Linked DNA regions of Schizosaccharomyces pombe. The protein of the gene in region 2 interacts with the protein of the main gene of each other region in a pairwise test. Each region holds a gene or a part of one and is shown on either strand. Other genes may lie near its edges.

Region 1 (10,755 bases), on a different chromosome or scaffold from region 2:
AGTACCTAGATGCATTAGAATTTCAAGTTATTTTACCTAATAAAATTGTCAAAATGACATACCCCAAGGGTCAACAATCTAAAAATTTTAATTAGCAAGAATTCTTAAACAGACAGGTGAAACTTGAAGACGACATACCATGGAATGACCATAACTAGCACGCTTCTCGTTATGCTTTCCACCTTGCGCAGGAGCTATAACATAACACTGAGAGTCCAAAGCGCGAGCTCTCAACAGCACTTCCCAATGAGCAGCTCCGGTCTTTTCAGTAAAAGCACTAGGGTATGTGATAATGTGAGCACCCATGTTTCTAAGCTTTATAGCTTGTTCTGGGAAGCGGATGTCAAAACAAATTGCAGAACCAACTTTGCCTAGAGGGGTTTTACAAGGTGGGAGAATAGCTTCACCACGAAGTGTAGTATTCGACTCTTTTAAAGTTGGTCCATTTTTAATTTCAACATCAAAAAGATGAGCTTTGCTGTAACGGCTAATGATTTCACCATGAAGAGGCTCGATAAACAGGCTACTGTTTAGTAGCTTGTTTTTAACCTTAGATGGTTCGTGCACGCATATCTATAAAGACAAGTTTGTTACTATCAAAGTAGTTAAACATTAGTACGTACGTTTACGAAGATTGAATGTTTGGTAGCTGACTCTCGAACGTCCCGAATAAACTTGCTACAGTCAGGATGATTTGTAAGTTCAATAGCCTCATCACTCTGTATGTCAGAGATATTAGTAAAGTTGGTAAAGTATGCAAAAGTGTCGTACATTATGAGCTATAAAGTCAGAAGCCTCAGGGAAGAATATGCATTTCGCACCTTTGGCGGCTGCTTGACTTATCAATTCTTTACATATGGCTAAGTTTTTTAGAATAGAACCACTTGAGTTAAGCTGAGCTACTGCTGCCAATGTCATGATGGTACAAAAATGGATGAATGGGACCCTGCGTTTACAAGGTTTAGTTTGTCGTTGAGTAAAGCTGGCATTGCAATACAAGATGTATTATACTGTCAAAATGATAGGATTTTTGTTAAATAGAGCGAAAGTCGCAAATTTGTGAAAAGTAATGTCTAAAGGAAATTTAAAAAAATGATAAATTATGCTTTATGTAACTATACGATATGTTGATTTAGGCATCAATATGAAGGATGGGCATACAGTATGTTCAATTGAACTATTTCGCTCTCCTAAGAAAGATTCTTTAAGTCATTAACTAAATACTAGAACCAAAGAAAATAGATGCTAACTTTTTCAAATAAAATGCGAACAAAATTATTAAATACATGGAGCCTATCAACAAGTAGGGTATCTTCGAAATTTCCTTTAAAGCTAATAGAATCAAGAAAATGAAAGTGCTATAACATAAGTTCTGCTAATCTACATACATCTACTTCAGTCAACATTCTGTTGTTCAAATCAATCTATGCATTTTATTCTTCGTATTTGCAGTGTAGGAATGTAAATCGTTTTGTTCACAACATGATTTTAAGAAAGTGAAAAAAGTTTAAGTAGCATTCTAATAAATACTGATTTCTTGGATTTTGTTTTATGAAATTTTGCTATCACTTTTCATCCATTCGGACACCAGATCAAACTACCCAATATTCTTGAAAAGAAAATTAAGATTATAATAACGGGATTTTTGAAGTATGAAATGTAGATTAAAACATTGAATAAAATTTGTCACAAACCGTAGATATTCGATTCATAATGCCTGCCTATAAACTTGCTTTGTTTACCTTCTATTGCGTTTCTTTGCGTTATACGATTTATCAATGTCAAACAAAAATTCGTTAACAGAAGGTGACTGTTCTACCTATACGATTCGAACCTTCGTCCATTATCAATGCTAGCTGGATAACTACTGCGTGAACGGTGAAAAATTGTCTTTGACATTTGCCATCTACCAAACTTTTCTACTCCATGGCAACGGCAGTGTTCAAGGTATTTTAATTTCTAAAATTGAAAGTTTGTATCATTCTTATTAACATTGATGCAGAATATTACTCCAATTCCGGATGTGAACACGTTCTTGGACGTGGTCCTTTCTCGGACTCAAAGAAAAACACCTACCGTTATTCGATCAGGGTTTAAGGTATGTAAACATTTTCAGTTCAATTATCGTATTAGAGTGGTTGCATTGGAATTCTAGATTTGCGAATCATCTACTAACGAAAATATTAGATCTCTCGTATTAGAGGTTTTTATGGACGAAAAGTAAAATTTACTCAAGATACAATTACTGAAAAGCTGGATTCGATTTTACAGGAATTCCCTAAGTAAGTATTTGCCAAAGAAATGGATGCCTGCAGTCACTGTTAAAGAATGAGAAATGATGCTTTAACGTGTTTGGTGTGAATTCTTATGTGCACAGTATTCTTAACACTGTGTTACTCCTATTGATTTTTTAAGTGTTTAATTGTGTTGGAATTCTCAGCAGCATCGTGAATCTTTCCTTATTTCCATATCACTATCTATGGTTCACTAACAATTTCTTAGACTTAACGATATTCATCCTTTTCATGCTGACCTTTTGAACATTCTTTACGATCGCGATCACCTTAAAATCGCTCTTTCACAGCTCTCGACAGCCAAACATTTAGTAGAAAATGTCGCTCGTGATTATATCCGTTTGCTCAAGTATGGTGATAGCTTATACCGCTGCAAACAGCTCAAGCGTGCCGCTTTGGGACGCATGGCAACGATCATTAAAAGGCAAAAGTCATCCCTCGAATTTCTTGAGCAAGTCAGACAGCACTTGTCTCGTTTGCCAGCAATTGATCCAAATACACGAACCTTATTGGTTTGCGGCTATCCCAACGTTGGTAAATCCTCATTCATGAACAAGGTTACTCGTGCTCAAGTTGATGTTCAGCCTTATGCTTTTACCACTAAATCTCTATTTGTCGGTCATTTTGATTATAAATATTTGAGATGGCAAGTGATTGATACTCCTGGTATTCTGGACCACCCTTTAGAGCAAATGAACACCATTGAAATGCAATCTATTACTGCAATGGCTCATCTTCGATCTGCGGTTTTATATTTCATGGATCTCTCGGAAATGTGCGGTTACAGTGTTGCTGCACAGGTTAAATTATATCATAGCATTAAACCCCTTTTTGCCAACAAGGTTACTATTTTGGTTCTCAACAAGATTGACGCCATGAGGCCTGAGGATTTGGATCAAAAAAATCAAGAGCTTCTTCAAACCATCATTGACGACGGTAATGTTAAGGTGGTTCAAACTAGCTGTGTTCAAGATATCGGTGTTATGGATGTACGTACTACCGCTTGTGAAGCCCTTTTGGCTGCTCGTGTCGAACAAAAACTTAAGGGCTCAAGGGTTAACAATGTTCTTAATCGCATTCATCTTGCTGAGCCTGCTGCTCGTGATGAGGTTGCACGACCAGCTTGCATTCCTGATTCTGTTAAAACTCGCCGTGCATATGATGCAAATGATCCAAATCGCCGTATACTTGCTCGTGATATTGAAGCTGCAAACGGAGGTGCTGGTGTCTATAATGTTGAATTGCGTGACAAGTATATTCTTCAAGACCCTAGCTGGAAATATGACCGTATGCCTGAATTATTGGACGGTAAGAATGTGGCTGATTTCGTTGATCCTGAAATTGAAGCGAAGTTATTAGCCTTGGACGAAGAAGAAGAACGTCTTGAGCGTGAAGGATATTATGATTCTGACCAAGAAATTGAGGATGCCGATGAGGAAGAGGTTCTTGAAAAAGCAAGTAGAATTCGTGAGAAAAACAAGCTGACTATGTTGGCTGCTCGCCAGAAGAAAATTAAAAATCGTCCTGTACTTCCCCGTACCGCTGGCATTCGTACTTTAGACGAACTACAATCTTCCTTACAATCTGCTGGGCTTCCCTCAGATTCTATTGAAGAGCGGGCACGCTCCCGTGCACGTACTGCAGCAGCAAACGAAATGGCTGATGGTTCAGGTGTTGACTTGTTAATGAATGAAGGTGAAGAAATTCGCTCTAAATCTATTGCCCCACGTTCACAAAGCAACCGTCGCGAATCTGGTGTTCACGCAGAAGGTGCCAGATCTTACGCTGATCGCCTGGCTCGTGTCAAACAGATACACCGTAACCGCATGGCCAGGGCTTCTGAAAGTGATCGACATGTTATTGCTGCCAAGCCTAAACATTTGCTTAGCGGTAAACGTGGTAACGGTAAAACTCAAAGAAGGTAGAATAATGGTTTTGGACTTGGGGTTCTTTTTTTATATAAAACTTTAATATTTGGTTGGTTATTTGGGTTTGGATAATATGGGTGGACTTGCAAGACTTTCTACCTACATCCCTTTTTGTTTCTTCACATAAATTACTTTTGTTGGAGGATGTTGTCCATTAGGAAAGAAATTTAATATATTTCAAAGCTTTTGCTTAATGTACTTTCAGTTGACAATTGAAGCAGTTAATTATGTAGCCGTGCATAACAACACCTGTAGTTTTTGGCTGTAAATTTTATGCTGAGTAAATAGATGAAAGTAAAAAGAATGAGTAATTAAAATCTAAAGTTAATCAATAGCTAAGGTTGATCGTTGTTGAACAGAGAGGCAACTGTCGTGCTCAAGTGCTAACTGCTTTAAGATGCCAAAAACCATACCCTTGCAATTAGCAAAATAATGCTAGATTAAAAGGTTATAGTTAGATCAACTATGCTTTGTTTAAATAAGTAATACTTATAGCTTGATTCTGTTATAATCATGTTCTCTCCTTGTACCGTTAAAGAAAAACGTTCAACTTTGCGAAGTGTCGCTCCCAACCCGGAATCTTCTGTTATACCTCCAATTCCTTTACCATCAAGAAGGTATAAAACAAGACATATTGATGCACTTTGTTCGTTGATGCACCTTTGCTTATTGCGCAAAGATTACCCAAGGGCATCTAGGGCTTTTTCATTACTGTTGAGATCTAAGAGTGTTGACATTTCCAAATTATGGAACATTGGACTTGAAATTTTGAACAAAGTTAATCCAGAAGCTTCATCAGAGTATATGGAGCGACTAATAGCTCGATATCCTGCGCGTCCATCCATTAACAACTCTTATCCGAATCGTAATGTAAGTGTATACTGGTACAAAACGTCTATACTTTCATCTTTTCGTGTATTGAATTTTTTGTCCCTTCTTATTTGAAATCAATCATATGTCGCAATTCTATACTAACATTTACAGGCAGAACATTTTTTTCCAGCATATATCATGCTACTTATTCAGCGCCAAGAATACAATAAAGCTATGAAGTTGCTTGATGAGTATTTGCTGTTACCACCCTACAATCAGAATCCTGCATTGCATGAGTATTCCGGAATGTTGTGTTTTGAACTTGCCAAGGAGGAAGCTTCAGAATCTGAGCGAACTAAATGGATTGAAAAGGCGAAATACAACTTTTCAAACGCAGGAATTGACGTCGAATTGTAGATTTAACATTCCCATGGCATTTCAAAAAGCACATTAGTATATTTAATATTTTAGATTGACCATCAGAAAAATTATGTATATTAGCAAATAATAAGATGGGAAGATACATTTAAATTTAAATTTAAAACTAATCATTAGATAGCCAACGACTGTATAAAAAGATTGTTAAATATCTATAAGTTCAAGTTGGTATTTATATAAAAAACATAAAGAATGCAAAAAATAAGATAACGAAAGAAAAAATTATTTTGAATAATAATTTAAAACCAAAAAAATTAAGATCCACTTTGATCTGTATTAATCGTATTATACATTCCCATAGAAAGCAAGTTCAAAATTTCGTTAATTTTCTGTTTCCGTTGCGCTTGCAATGAGCATAATTGCTCAACGAGCTTTTCACGAGCAGCTTCGTTTTCAGCTGTAAAAAGATCAACTTCGTGTTTTGAGCTTAAAGACGAACGGTTCGTTTTAGTATCATGACCAACAAGGTTTTTGGTCTCCGAGATATCAGCTAACTCATCAGTACTCCATATTTGAGAAAAGTAAGTTACGTATTTTTTTAATTGATGAAGCTGAACTGTTTCAAGGTAATATCTAGCAGTTTTCAATGTATGCAGAAATTTTTTACACTGGTGAATCAAATCCTCCCGCTGATTTACCAAGTAGTTCTCGTCATTATTGGTACGTTCATTCCATAATCTTTGGCAAGTTTCAGTTTCCCGAACTGTTTGCTCCAACGCCTCCATTGCCAAATTATAGGTTAGTTGTTTTTCAGCAAGAGATGCTTCATGGCATTTTGAAAGTTCGCTCAGCTGAGTGAAGACATTGGGAAGGGTTTGGTGAGTAAGTTTATTAGAAAAGTAAGAAATAGGTTTTTTGGACGATAAGTGGTCATCAAGTGATTGCGGATATTTTAAGTTATCTATCAAATTATCCTCGATTTTGGAATTTAAGGGGGAATCATCATTTTCGGGAAAAGACATGTCTTTCGAAGACAAAAAATCTGTTGGGTATTGGCCCTGATTATTTGGTATGGAGGATGATGCATAAAAGGATAATAATAATCTCGCGCATTTCTTTGCACCATTTCTAGCGCAGATCAAAAGAGCGGTATCCCCATGATCATCCTGAAGGTTTATAATTTGGGCAGCGACATCAACGGATTGTGTTGCAGTTAAATTTTGCAATAAGATATCCATATAATAACGAGCGGCTTCCATCTTTGATTTAGAAGAAGCTAATAATGCGATGTGGTGAAAGACGGTTTGGCCAAAAGAGTCGTTCATGCAGATAGCAGATTGAAGCAACTCCGAAACTACCTCAAAAGTCTGTAAATCATAGTTCATGGTAAACATTACACAGCGCATCAAAGATGTTTGTTGAAGGTAATTGACAGCAACTACGTTGGCGCCTGCTTGCAATAGTGCATGCATCATTTCCAAATTTCCCATTGCAGCAGCCCAATGAAGTGCTGTATGACCATCCTCATCAATGCCAGCATTAACATCCCAATCTGATGGCCGATCATATACGAAATCAGGAGGTTGTGTAGTATTTGGTAATAAAAAGTAATCCAAGAGAGACTGCGCATAATTGTTTGAAGAAAACGGAGAAGCTTTGATATCGTGCAAAGATCCCGTAAAGGAATCAGAAGGCATATCGGGAGAGCGCGTGAAATCAGATTGAAGAGACAAAGCATCATGGATTCCTGACATTCTAGAAGTAGATGTCATATTATTGGAAGATGTGTAAGGGTAGAGTAAAGAATGCGAAGGCCGGGAAAATGACTTTTTTACTGGACTGTTTCGTCGATATGCTTCTGTAGGCTTACGATTGCTCTGAGGAGTGAACGTAGACATTGGCATGAACGCAGAGCCAGAGTATTCAATCAGAGGTTGTATTAAATCAAAAACATTATATTCATGAGCAAGTTCAACAGCTCTTTCAGAGGGTACCCAAGTTCCTGAATGAATAGTTAGTAACAGGCATCCAAAAAAGTATAAATTGATAAATAAAAACAACAGAGACAAAAATTTTATGTTATTTAAGTAGTTTTAAACCTATTGATATAGTAAGAAGTTAACACAAACCTTGATATTTTCCACAACCACCTTGAATTTTTTCATGAAGTCCCTTTTGAGCGAATTTCTCCAGAATCCTTGTCCTCCTGGGTTTATCGAGCTCTGCAATTTTAAGGATTTGCGTGGCATTAAGCCAGTTATCATGACAACGTTTCATTAAAGGAAAGCCATTGATCGTATACTCAAATACTTCCACTCCTGAATAGGTGATTTTATGTATTTGGTCGTTATACATAACGGCACTATTGGCAAGCAATTTAAAAAAAAGGAAGGAAGGAAGAGCTTCAAAACTTGATGCAATAACAACGTTTCGTCTCTCTAAATGTTTGTAATAATTTAATGTCTCAACTCCACAGCGCCAGCTATTAATATCATATAAAAAAAAAAACGAAGCAAATGAGAAAGAAGAAGCAAATTGAAATTTCCTCTACAAAATATCGATAGTTTTTGAAAACCGAGTATTTATAGCAGATAAAGTCGGAAATACATATGATACTAACTGCATGCACTAAAGAAAGGATATATTCTCTCAGCGGCGTTTGCCTCAAAGATTTTTTCAATTAAAAAGTATTTAACTCTATGTTTTGAGTTAAAAACAGATGTTTTTAAAGACCTCTGCTATCCCTAAAAATCCACGTATCTTACCAGCTGATGTAAGATACTCAACTACCAAGAACTTTAATATGTAAGGACAGAAACCTTTCGAAACTTTCCAGATCACGATTTGTATAATTTAAATCAAAAAGCTGTAGATTTGGGTTTATCGACTACGGAGCCGATTTAGTCCGGATTTTTTCAACAGCGAGATCTCAGAAAAATCGAAAAACACTGCTTCTTACTCACCAAAAAAATCCCTAAAATCACAGTAAAGTGCTTCAGGAAATGCGGATCCTTTTTTTGATAAAAAGGAAATTTGCTTGCTTTTTTAAGATCTCACACAAACAGAACTAAATCTTTCACCCTCTCTTATGGTGAGTTAGTGGTAAACGATAAATACTTGAAGGTTACATATTAGTAACTCAATTATTGTACCATTCGATTCCACTATGTTAAACCAATTGTATTACATAAATGATAAAGAATTTCATTGTTCAACTCGAGTTTTTCTAATAAACCATTTTTATTTATAGACTGCAGTGACTACTTATTCAAATTCACATTGAATATGAGAATAAAAACATTCCAAAATTTCTTAACATTTTCTTGTCATAATAAAAAGTTAATCACCAGGCTTCTGTTTAAAGGTTTTACCATTATTTAATATTTGGTATTTCAAACACAGAGCATAAATACCCGTCGCAGAATTGAAAAATAAAATCCTAAATTTTTTATAATTGCCCATTATATGCGTCTTTCGAACGTAAATAATCATCACTAAAAACCAAATCCTACAAATTTTTACAAAAATAATACACAAATACCATTTTGTGAAACATTAATTATCCCTCAACTCAATATTTTGGTAGCTTCATTCCTAACTGTCATCTTGGAAAGATTCGAATAACACAAAAGAAGAAACAAACACAAAAAAAACAGATTCACGGAACTAATCAAAAGATAGATGGATATGTGCAAAACAAAAGCTTAACAAGTAAACCAATTTCCTTCGTCTATTATAGAGAAATTTTTGAATACCGCTAAATGCAATCGCTTTATAGAAAATTCCTTCTAATATGAGTTGTATCTATCACCACAAATATACAGATAAAAAAATTCTATAACATATGTAAATACCAACTAACTTCACTCTCTTTAAAAAAGCAAAGCTAAAAACCAAAAAAGATACTTATCCAATTATTCTCTTTCCTCCTTCCAAATTTTTAAAAGAAACATTACCATAAGCTCATTTGGCTTGGTACTGCTGTCTGTAAGCATCCATTGCCTTTGATTCAGCTGCAGTTAAGTCTGATTTGGTAAAGTCAACAATGTCGTCCAAAGTAAGGATGGAGGAAACGGGTAAGTTAAGCTCCTTCTTCAATCTACCAATGGTACTTTCGTTTACTTCGGGGTCCAGTCGCTCTTGGCGGTCAAGCAAAAGGACGATACCAGCCAATTTTACGTGCTTAGGTTCTAAGAAGGAAATTGCTTCACGAATGGCAGTTCCAGCGGTAATAACATCATCCAAAAGTAAAACCTTTTTACCTTCCATTTCGGCGCCTACAAGGTTACCTCCTTCACCATGGGACTTGGCCTCTTTGCGGTTATAGGCAAATCCATAGCTCTTTCCAGTTTTTTCATAAAGTTTGACGGCCGTTATAGCAGCCAAAGAGATACCCTTATAAGCAGGACCAAATATGACATCAAAATCAACGTTCATAGCGATAATAGTCTCGGCATAGGCTTCTGCAAGAGCGCATAAATCGGCACCATGAGTGAAATTACCAGAATTGAAGAAGTATGGAGATTTTCTGCCTGATTTTAAGGTGAAAGTTCCAAACTTCAAAACATTATGTTCTAAGGCACGACGCAACAACTCAAGTTTATAAGACATGTTTACTACTAGTTTTGTTGATAAACGTTGATACTCACAAAAGAAAAAAGCTAGTATCACCTTTTCTAAGCTCTACATGGGGGTTATGTGGGGGAATAAACAAAAATCATAACTAAAGAAAAATGCAAGTTTGTAGGCAAACTACTCAATCTATAATCTAATGTGCAAAAGAGAATTAATGTCCTATCAAAATGGACTTTTTTCCTTTTATTAAAAAGTTTGACAAGTGCTTTTGAAGAAGCGAAATAATCTTGTCTCTGATAAAGTGCAATCGTTAACTTCCACTCAATTCAACCATGTTGGCTGAATTTTATCAATAACGCTCATATACTGGTTCACTCGATCCAAATTTCTGACATGTGAGTCTCCAGTCCAGAAAAGTTTCCAAGGTGTTTTGCTTGACTTTAAGGAGCCTACACTTCTTTCAAAGTACCATTTATTGACTGGATTAGTCAGGCGAGAGCGCCATATCAACTCTTTGGGAAATAAATCAGTCATAACATTAAACATAACATCAGATATTGCTGCTGAACCCTGGGCTCCTTGTGAGACGGCAAGCTTATCAAGATAAGGGACCTTTTCATTCGTTGTTCCATCTGGTTGTTCATAAGTTACAATGGCTGTCCCTAAATAGTCCCCTGCAATAATGACTGCAGCTAGCGAATTCTTCAACCTATCTAAATATGCGTCCATATCAAGCGTTCGCTTAAAGGAGTCATTAATTAAAACCC
Region 2 (10,878 bases):
GCAAGGACATCACGCTCTCCCAAAATGGGCATAATGGCTCTTTGCTGAATGGCAGAAGGACGCTCAAAACCGTAGGCATAAATACCACGGAGAAGCTCAGGCTTCAAATTCATGTCGTCGAAGGTGTCAATAACCTCATCGTAGTTGGTTTCAATAACCGAATCCTCCAGTTGGTCTACCATTTTAGCAATCTTGCTTAGCTAGGTGAGTGGGTTGTGGAAAAAAAGTTGAAGGGTTGTAATAAATATTTTCTCTAACACACAGTCACACACCTGAAAAATTGTAATAATTCCTGATTATTTTAGTACTTTAAATACACAGACTTTTACTGAAAAATCTATTTAAAAAAATTATAAAAACATTTATGTACACACTTTACTTTTAAGATTTTAGATGTCTTCTAAAAAATGATGTAGCAAGAAAAACCCTACTGAACGTGGCGATAAACTCCTGCACACTCTATCGAAGCCTGCGTTAATGCTGTTTAATACAGATAAGCAACTCGTTGCGAAAAAGTGTATTTTACGTGGTAATATTTGGTGAATGCTAAAACATAAAAAATGTTAAGGAGTTTGGAATGCATATAAAAGCATTTTTTATTATTGTAACACTGTTCATGTTATCTTCAATAGTATGAAAAGTTATCGATTACACATGAGTATTTTAAACAATCACAATAAAAGATAATGAATGAATATGCTGAATGCAGAGAGGTTGTTTATTAGTTGACTAAAGAAATGCATAATAAATCTATGGAAAAAGAATGATTCGTAACAAAAACAGCGTGCAATGTTGAGCAAATTGAAAAAGACACAATTCGTTTAATAAAACACACAATCGTCAATAGCATTATCTCAACCATAGTAAATATATGTACGTAGGAATTTTTAAAGTTATTCCTTAAAGAGATGAAGCAGGGTCATAGATTCTTGAAGCTTAGATTGTAATAGCATATATTATAATCAATTGATGTGGCATGCAAAAGATGTCCGGAGTAGTAAATAGTATTCCAAAATGCTCAAGGAGAAGTTCGCACAAATGTTGACAGTACTGTCATAAACGATCTAAAGTGCAGGACCTGCTGCATTTGCTGGAGGAAGTATTAAAGAATGAACTATAGGATTTTCTCCAGATGAAAATGGAATTGGCTCAGTGCTGTAAAGTATTTCACCTCCTTCACTAATTAACCCTCGGCCATCAGTTAAAAGTTTAATGTTTTGTCCCATTATGATTTGAACGAGTTCGGCTGTTTCGGCATTCCTAATTTCAATGAAGTCCGGCTCAAATGCCAGGATATATGGATAACACAAAGCGCAACCTTGAGGTTGGCCCTCCCAATTAATCATCCAGGATTGCCTAGATTTCCAGCCATTCGTATTAACAAAGAATGCAAAATCTGAATAACAGAGGAGAAATTCTCCTCTTAAGCGAAACATGGCAATCGGTCGAATATCTTCCCTCTTTTCTAAAAATCTAAATGAAGTATCAGCAGGATTTAACAAAGATTGGAATACGGCATTTTCCAAACTTATAATATCGAATCCCTTAAAACTTCCCACACAAAGCTTTGTCTTGAGAAAGTGAACGGACAAAGCTTCCATCGGCATTTGTACCTCCTAAAAAAATGTTAGTATAGAGAAAGAACGACGAGGTAACTCACAGTAAATATTTTCAAAGTTGCTTGATTGCCAAAAGGCTTTTTTAGAGACTGGGTCTTTTTGTTCTTCAAGGCACGATCAGCCTCATAAATCCTCAATGTAGTATTTAAAACGGTGGACTTTACCGCACAGACTAAAATTCTTTGCATACAAAAACCTGTTTTGACGAAACTAACATGACCTGTTACACGTCGCAAAGACTTTGAATTAATTTGTTCTACTGAATCAAGAGCGTCCAGAGGTAACTCGTACAAAATCTTCTCGGCTAAAAGCAATAGAACGTTATGTTCCTCAATTACATCTAGTTGAGAGATATTTGGTAATTGCAGCTTGAAAATGGGTTCAAGACAACTGCCATTATTACTTTTTCGAGAAGAGATATATAGTCCCTTGTAAGTTCCAAATAGTAATTTACGGCCCGCATCTAAAGAGCTGTTAACAAACATTTACTTCTTTAACATATTGTTTATTATACTTACCATAGGCAACGGCACATAATAACTTGTTGCCGGTAAACCAGGACTGACAACATATGCCTCGACTTTCAAATACCAAATGACGCTTTCGAATGATATCTTGCTGTTTCTCAATGTGTTGTTTCCATTGGTCTCTAGCAATCAGTGTATTGAGATAAAGACTTATAGAAAAACCACGGGCTCCAATAAATACTAACTGCAAACCGTATGCTTTAACAGGAGGTGGATTACTTTTTGTAATTGAAATTGGATTAGTTAACAAAGCAGAAGATGGTCGACGCGGAAGGCTACCTCTCGATGGCGAGTCTTCGATGTAAGAAATCGACAACAATTCTAAAGGTAATGGCCTGAGATGCAGTTTATGAACTCTTCTTTTCATTTGAATCTTTATCTTACACAACAAGAGAAAATTGTCCAGTAAAAACATGTGAATGTCGTTTTCAGTGTCCCCATTCGAATAACTACTGGCTTTTAGCTTGACGACGCCTTTGAAAATCAATAAGCGAGATGGATCAAACAATGTTAATTTTGCTCGATCCGCAGGGCTGCAGGAAAGCTGTTCGTTTAACTGTAACAACGAGAGTCTATTTTCAGTCTTCCCTGTTTCATAGTTAAGCTTAGTAAGAAATTCACGAATCATTTCGATTACACGAGGAATGTTTTCCGTATCAGGATTATCTTTATCAGTGTACTTAAGAACTCCACTTAATAGTAGCGGATACCTCGCAAGGCGAGTCGTAGGCTTGGTCAAATAACCATTAAGTTCTAGTTTTCTAGACTCTCGTAATCTTTCCACTTCATGAACATAATTCGCAAAATTCCTATTCGTACTTTTTTCACGCTCAAATTCAAACTTGGCAATAGCCTGATTGGCACCATATTTTATAAAAGGCTCAAATTTAGGAACATAATCTAAGAAAAGATCACCAATTGTGTTAACTACAGGTTGCAGAGTTTGAGTACGGTTTAGAGCATTTGACAAACGAGAATTGACAGCATGGATTTGCATGATATTATGAAAAACGCAACGTATAAATTGTTGTCGGTTGTTTTCTGGTATTACATTTGAGGTTGAAAGAGGCTTAATCCAAAAGTCACGTATATACTCTAGGTCTCTGACGAAGTCCCGTTCTGTGTAAATAACCTCAAAAATGATTTCCTGTCTTTTCCATTCACGGACATCGATCTGGTCTACAACTTGCTTAGGAACATTTTCCGACCATAAACGATGATCTTCCTCTTGTTTATCTGTAATCGAAGTTGATCCCCCACTTAATACAGGTTGGACCTTCAAATGGAGACGGGCCTGCTGCTCTAGTCGACGTGGGCAAGATATAGAATAGCAAAGGCGATTACGAGAACATGTAGAGGAGTAGCATTCCGTTAAAAGAGTAAACACTCCATGAGGATTGTATTCGGTTTCAGGAGCTTCAGGCTCCTTAGTAATTGCGCTTAGGGATGAGGTGATGAAAGCTAAAGAATTTACCTGTACAGACGAGGAGATGGTAGGTGTCGTAGAAGAATCAGATAAAACAGAGTCAAATGAATCAGACGTGTTCGCTCTTCTTTTTGTGTAGAGAAAGTTATTTTCGATCGACGATCCATTGGAATCCATCGAGGAGAGACCAGGAGGAGGAGAAATGATACGTCGGTACTGGTAAACTTCCTTGAGCGAGTCGCGAAGTCTATGAGAGTAAGTAACGTCATGAAACATCTTTTGCGAATCCAGGGCTCTTCCTAAAAGTAACGCCAAATTCCTGTCAGTCGTCCGAACTATATGCATCAATACATCGACAGCTTCCGATCCAAGAAAGGCATCTTTATAAAGAAGACCATCCTTCACACGGTCACCGATGTTAAGACGCTTTCGGAACTCAACGGCGACTTGAGAAAGAAAAGCCGGATGTATATAAGGGCGACGAGATGAGGTAGAATTGGAATGCGAAGGGGCGATGTTCGAAATCGCAGATGCAGACTTGGAGCCTGAGTGATGCTTAAGTAAGACGGCAGTTGATCCTTCAGGAAAAGATGGCATGGGTGCATTAACATGGACGCTATTTTTTCGAATGTTAGGATAAGAACTGCCATTAGATACATCAGAGACGGAAAACGACTGGCGAGTATGGGGTCTACCGAGCGATTGTATTTCTTTCCTACTACGTGCATGAGAAATGCCAAAATCATCTGTGGAGGAAGAACGGCGATAAAAATTATTTTTTTTATTAACTTCTAAGCCATCTCCAGGACCCGAATCTTTTCTGGATAGCGAAGAGGGAGAAAAGCTAAGGCTCGATGCAGGACGAAAATGATTGCCATCATTTTCATTAAGGGATGTGGTAGATGATAAAGCGGTAGGAGAATGTGTGATAGAGCCAGAACTCCTTCTTTGGAACAGTTTTTGGCTACTGCTAAATGATGAAAAAATACGAAATCCTTTAGCTGCTTTACCAAACGATTCATGAGACTCAGAGTTTATATTTCCATTCTGAGCTCCATTGCGAAGCATTTTCTTGTTTGTTGATTCTAATTTTACTACCCTCTCGAGGTATCGCAAGTTTTAGAAAAACGGCGCTATGCAAAGGGGCTTTTCTGATACCAATCGTCCGTACCGACACAACAACAGAAAGAGAAGAAAGATATTTTTCAAATTCAAGTAGTACCTTTTTTTTTAACGCTCCAATTACTTTCAACAATAAAAGGTTCTACAAGACAAGTCGTCTTATTTGAACATGGAAACTTCACCAAATTCCTCTTATTATACACGAGAAGCCGGAGTACGTATATTAATGCCAATTCTCCGGCTTTCCAATTATTCAAACAGCTTGGATACTCAAAAGAACGGATTTGAAGTGGATCGCTGCTTACACTTCTATATTATGGGTGGTGCTTTGGGTAACCTTTTTCTGTTATTGTGTACATACACCTAACACACACCGTTAACTACAGCCGACAATACTTGGACTGATATTACGCACGGTACCGCAATCAAGTGTGGCTGTTGCTATTATAGAGTAATATCACATTAAAGCCCTTCGATTTTCGGGTCGCTTGTGCGAAGTTAAAGTAAGAGCATCTGCGCAAACTCAGCCAGAGCGCCCACCTGTGTTTTGCTGCGATTCTATGAAAAACCGCAAAATCTGTATCCTAGCTGCATTAAGTACACATTAATGAGTCTTTGTTAACGAACTAAGTAATTAATTGATACATTGAGCATTAGCATATAACGAGTTCAGCATGTTGAGACTCCGATTGAGAAGTATTGTAATAGGAGCTGCGATAGCGGGATCCATACTGTTGTTATTCAATCATGGTAGCATAGAAGGAATGGAAGATTTGACAGAGATTTCGATGTTGGAGGATTACACTCCGGAAGCCGCTAATAAAGATTATGTTGGTCAACAGGAGGAGGAGGAACTTTTGTATGATCAACCGTCTTACATTGAAGAAGAAGAAGATCCAGATTTGGAAGCTTACTTGAGCGATTTGGAGAGGGAAGAGCTGGAACACAGCTTGGAAGAACTTGATGAAGAAAATAATTATAAACTTCATCTACGGTACTCCTTTTCACAGCTTCAAGATTTTGACGAAGAAAATGAAGCTGTACACATGATCGTTCCTAAAGATACTTATGAATTTGAGGTGCCTTATCACGCTGACATTCCCAAGTTAATATGGCAAACTTCCAAGGACCCTTTTGATAGAGAGGTTATGAAGTACACTCGGTTTTGGAGAATCAACCATCCCAGTTATTCTCATGCTGTTTTAGACGATGAGCAGTCTAAAGCATTGGTCATCAGTAGCTTTGGCGATTCATCAGTTTCCAAGATTTCACAAGCGTATGCAATGATGCCTCTGCCTGTTCTGAAGGCCGATTTCTTTCGGTATCTAGTGTTATTGGCAAAAGGTGGTATTTATAGCGACATTGATACGGCACCATTGAAGCATATAAACAATTGGATCCCTCGTGAATATCGTAAGCGTAATATTCGACTGATCGTTGGCATTGAAGCAGATCCCGACCGCCCTGATTGGAACGACTACTATGCCAGGCGTGTACAATTCTGTCAGTGGACCATAGCTGCTGCACCAGGCCATCCAATTCTTTGGGAACTTGTTCGTAGAATTACCGATGAAACTTGGAAGCTGCATGATTCAAAGAAGCTTTCGAAAAATGGCGAGTCAGTAATGGAGTGGACTGGTCCAGGTATTTGGACCGATGCCATTATGGATTATTTAAATTGGCAGTATGGCCCTTTCTCGGTTGAGAATATCACCAATTTAGAAGAACCTTATCTTGTTGGAGATGTTTTAATCCTACCCATAACTGCATTTAGTCCTGGTGTCGGTCACATGGGTAGCAAGTCTCCAAATGATCCGATGGCGTATGTTCAACATTTCTTTGCCGGTTCATGGAAAGATGATTGATCGTTTGAAATGTGGGTGGGTGGTCATTTCTTGGTATAATGTGCTTAAAGTGTTCGAACCGGGCAATTCGATAATACTAAATACACGCATTTGATCTGGTTTGGAAACTGTTACGGGTTGTGTTCGAGCAATTTTTGTAAATTATAGCTTGCGCAAACAAAAAAGTTTCTTTCGTGGTTGATTTAATCTTTCCCTCATAATTCTACATCTCTTTACGATTAATTTTGCATGTATTTTGTACGTTAGCCAATCAAGTTGGCAATATTGGTGACATTATTGAATTATATGAAGCCAATGCTTATGTCCTGATGATCAACTTTCTTTTTTTTTTTTTTTTCAGCGCTTTCATCAACGCGTTTTATAGCTCAGCACTATAATATTTTCCCTTGTAAACTGTTTTGAATTCTAAAGCTGTTTGTTTCTTTCAATAATTTTATAAAACTTTTGCGCTGATCACAATCAGTCTTTTTCAATTTTTTTCTCTTTTGTGATGGTATATTGACCCCAAAGCGTTTCTGTATACTTAGGTGAATTATCAAAGTAGTACAGAGATTATGCCTAAGATTTGAAGATGAATGATAAACCTGTTTCGGCTTTGTAATTACTTTATGTCTTTAGACTTGCATGAATGCTTCTTGGGATTAAAGGACCTCATATTTCTTCATTAAATTTTTGAGGTTTGTCTCTCTTTCTTTGCAACTACATTTTTTTTCAGAAGGTGACTTTATTTTGCTAGTAGTATTAGCGCTGTATTCTATAATATTTGTTTACTTTGGACCGACAAAGTTCATCACTTTACAGCTTCAACTATACATTATTTTTATTATAAATAAATAGACTGAAAAGTGTTTCAATAATTGAATAAACTTACTATTATCTTTTAAAGCTATGCTAACGCCCTTGCTTTGAATACCTTAGAACATTAAACACCCATATAAGAAGTTATTGTAGTGTTTATTTACCTCCATTTCCCACTGTCACAAACACGATTGTTGAGTGCATTTACAACCTGAAGGTTTAATGCTTTTCCTAATTGATGTTAAAAGTATTTCTTTTTTCCGTTATTTCTTTTCTATAAGTGCAGGATTTACATCTTCGAATTAGAAGCATCGTTGATAAATCTTACAATTGGTAGATTGCTTGCTCAAAATTATATTTTAGAAAAGCCTAACTTATTTGATTAAATACTTAATGACTAAAGAAACTCACGAAAATCATTTGCGTACGCATAACGGGATATTTCCTGTTTCTTTGCTCTCAACTCAAGCGCGTCAACTTTTGAATTTCAAGCTAAAGAGTCCTTCCTATTATCTTTTAAACAGTTTTAAACTCTTAGTTAAATCGGAAGGGAATAATCAATCAACCACTGCAGATGTAACTTTAACAAAATCACCAAATGCTTATCATGCTTCCAGCGCTAGAGAAGAGAAAGATTTACAAGTTTCTCGGCGGGATACTTGCTTTTATTGCAGTAGAAAAATTATCAAATGCATATGCAACGAAGAACACGTTGGGATTGAATCAGTTCAGCTTAAACTTATACTTCTATTGTGCCAAAATCTACCAAATGTTACTACTAATGCAAAAAAATATTTCAGTTCACTGGCTGATGGCCATAATTTCACTTTGACGCTTTATAAATTTTCTTTAGATAACCAAACATTTTCTCAATTACTTTCTCGATTTAAATCTTTTGCTACTTTGACTGAACTACTTCAAGTGCACAATGTTATGCTTCAAGTAAACTTTTCCTTTCAAGCAAGGCAACTAAACACAGAAATTCAACTACGACGATGCCATTCGTTAGAAAAAACATGGAAATTCTTATTTGGCGATTATGAATTACCTGATGTTCTAAAAGATATGGAGTCATCGAATAGTGATTGGAGTGACACATCTCTGAAACGAATTGCCTATTTATGTTCTCTTGTTGAGGAGCTCAAACTTCATTCTTCTATTATGAACGACAAGTATGTGTGCCTTGTGTCCAAGCATAACAACGCATTGGAAGACAAGTTTAACAGTGAAGCCGCGCGTCAGTTGTTGCAGAAATCTCTAAGTATAGTAGCGTCAAATTTGAAACAAGCCGAAAATAAAACTATCAGTTATGAAGAAAAGCTTTCTATAGCTCAAAATTCTATTAATGAAATTCAAACCCAAAACAGGGATTTAAAACTTGAAACCGAGAAGTTACAGGATCAAATCAAAGCGTTGCTAGAAAGAAATCAGTCATTGCAAGAAGCTCTAGAAACTGTTAAAAATGATGAAAAAAATCTGAGAGAAATGAACGCCAATTATGAAACCGAGATGAAAGAAGCGCGTCAAAAGTTAAACAACAAGGAGGCATTAATTAGTCATTATGATGATGATTTTCGAGCAAAAGAATTAAAAATTTCAAGACTTTCCGAAAGTCTTAGAGAAAAAGCAGGCTTATTGGAGTTTCAGTCTTCTGTTAGTGAACAAAGGGATCTACTTTATCAAGAACAAATACAGTCGTCAATAAAGGATATGGAGAATGTATTTCGAAAAAATGAATATCTTATGGAAGAACTTAATGAATTAAAGAACAATCTTGAAGTGGAATCAAGTAAGGTTTTGAGACTTGATGAAGAAATGAAATGCCTAAAGGATGAGCAACTCTCTCAATTTGACACGGTCTTTAGTTTGACTGATGAACGGGATGGATTACAGAAGGATTTAAAAAACACTAAGGGAAATCTTGACGATGAAATCGGGCGCTCTGCATTTTTAAAAAGCCAAATCAGGGATCAAGAGCTAACTATTGAGAAGCTCCATGACAGTTTGGAGACTTTAAGTCAAACTAACAATAGTTTACAGTGTGAGATTTCTGAAAAGAATGCAGAGTTAAATTCAGTAAACTCCAAACTTTCTGAAGGTAGAGCACACCTGGAAACCGCGAATAAGGAGAATGAGATATTGAAGCAGCAATTGGAGTTAAGTGAATCCAAATTAGCCAGTTTGTTAAACTCTTATCAATCATTTATTAATAAAAAAGAGCACCTCTATTCTTTTTTACAGCTTGTCGAGCCATCGTTCGCTAAAAGTGATTCATCTAATGCTACCGAATCCCAAATTTCCGAAAGTGTACGAAAAGGAATTTCAATATTTAATCTTTTGTTCATTGTTTACAAAAACGTATGCTCTCAAGCTGGAATTAATCCATCTACAAAGCTTGAAGATCTTGATGAACATACACTTTCTGATGAGCTGACTTATATAACAAAAAAGTTTGTACAAAAGGATCAAGAATACCAAACGAAGGAAATCGAGTTAAGGAATTATAAAATTACTCTTCAGTCGTTACTTGAAGATAAGCTTATCGGTGTAAATACTGATTGCAGATCACCTTCTTGTTCAGACTTTGAGCAACTAGGGCAAGAAAGCGAAAATAATACTTCTATCTCAGGAAGGGTTAGTAAATTAGTCAAAAGCTTTAATGATTCATCTTCTATTTCCAACAACACAAAAATCTCAATCACTAAGTCCCCATCTGGTGAGAAAGTTTCCGTATTTAAAGAGATGTCAGACATAGCTCTGCGCGATATGGATAAAAACAGAAAATTATTGGGAGAAAATGTTGACGTGAGAAATATTGTTGTCCAAAAGGATGAGTCATTGAACATTGACTTACAGAATAATGCTGTAGTACCTGAACTGCACTTCAAGGAGGGGATGGTATACGATTCATTGGAAAATGCGTATACTTATTTGGCCGAATCCAAACGCATGTTAGCAAATGAACTTCAGATGAAGCAAGAAGATCTTGAAAAAGTTATTTTAGAACTTGAAGCTTACAAGGAAATCTTCTTAGAAGAAAAACAAATTCCTTGTGAGGAGTTTATGCCAGGTAAGAACGCAAAATCCGAAAAGTCACTGCGGTCAGTTTTTCAAGAGCAGTTGATGAGAGAAACAAAGCGAGTTCGAAAATTGGAAAAAGTAAACTCTGAATTGAAATTGCATTGCTTTGAACTTTCTGAACGATTGAGGGAGCGCGAGCATACACTACAGCAAACATTTGGAGACAAATAGTATGTTCGCAAGTAGTAACAGATCAAAGGTACTAGCCTCATTGAGATTACCAATAAATAATCTATGAATACGGTCTTTCGTTTTAAATGCTTGAAGGCCGCCTGTTAGCCTCAAATGATAACTTGACCGGTCTTAAAATTTCGAGGTTTATGGGGGAATTTCAATAATAAATAATAACAAAATCTAGCATTTTTGTTAGGTGATTACATGAAAGCGTTTTGATCTTAAATCATTTCTTCAAGCTCCTGAAAGGCTAAATTTTTCATGTA

What was found.
Region 1: the proteins of och1 (region 2) and rrn11 interact in a two-hybrid assay, tested with the Schizosaccharomyces pombe proteins (one large-scale study listed by BioGRID).

What each region holds. Positions count from the first base shown.
Region 1 is NC_003423.3:1,230,348-1,241,102, reverse strand, and holds rrn11 (RNA polymerase I transcription factor subunit Rrn11), read left to right. Parts: upstream 1-4,621; 5' UTR 4,622-4,735; coding exon 4,736-5,092; exon of another isoform or gene 5,093-5,206; coding exon 5,207-5,452; 3' UTR 5,453-5,598; downstream 5,599-10,755. Other genes in the region: nit1 (nitrilase superfamily protein), read right to left, coding at 1-5, 63-78, 139-573, 624-719, 772-918; GTP-binding protein Nog1, read left to right, coding at 1,927-1,947, 2,003-2,098, 2,188-2,282, 2,503-4,219; MBF transcription factor complex subunit Res1, read right to left, coding at 5,728-7,415, 7,543-7,768; orotate phosphoribosyltransferase Ura5, read right to left, coding at 9,377-10,024; acetylglutamate synthase Arg6, read right to left, coding at 10,310-10,755. UniProt on the Schizosaccharomyces pombe protein: Subunit of a multiprotein complex essential for the initiation of rDNA transcription by RNA polymerase I. Binding to the DNA template is dependent on the initial binding of other factors.
Region 2 is NC_003424.3:5,074,867-5,085,744, reverse strand, and holds och1 (Golgi alpha-1,6-mannosyltransferase Och1), read left to right. Parts: upstream 1-5,223; 5' UTR 5,224-5,368; coding exon 5,369-6,559; 3' UTR 6,560-7,456; downstream 7,457-10,878. Other genes in the region: translation initiation factor eIF4A Tif1, read right to left, coding at 1-182; RhoGEF for Rho1 Rgf2, read right to left, coding at 1,065-1,616, 1,661-2,082, 2,138-4,640; protein mcp3, read left to right, coding at 7,751-10,609. UniProt on the Schizosaccharomyces pombe protein: Mannosyltransferase involved in outer chain elongation of asparagine-linked oligosaccharides of the type Man(9)GlcNAc(2). May otherwise add the first alpha-1,6-mannose to the Man(8)GlcNAc(2) core oligosaccharide from the ER.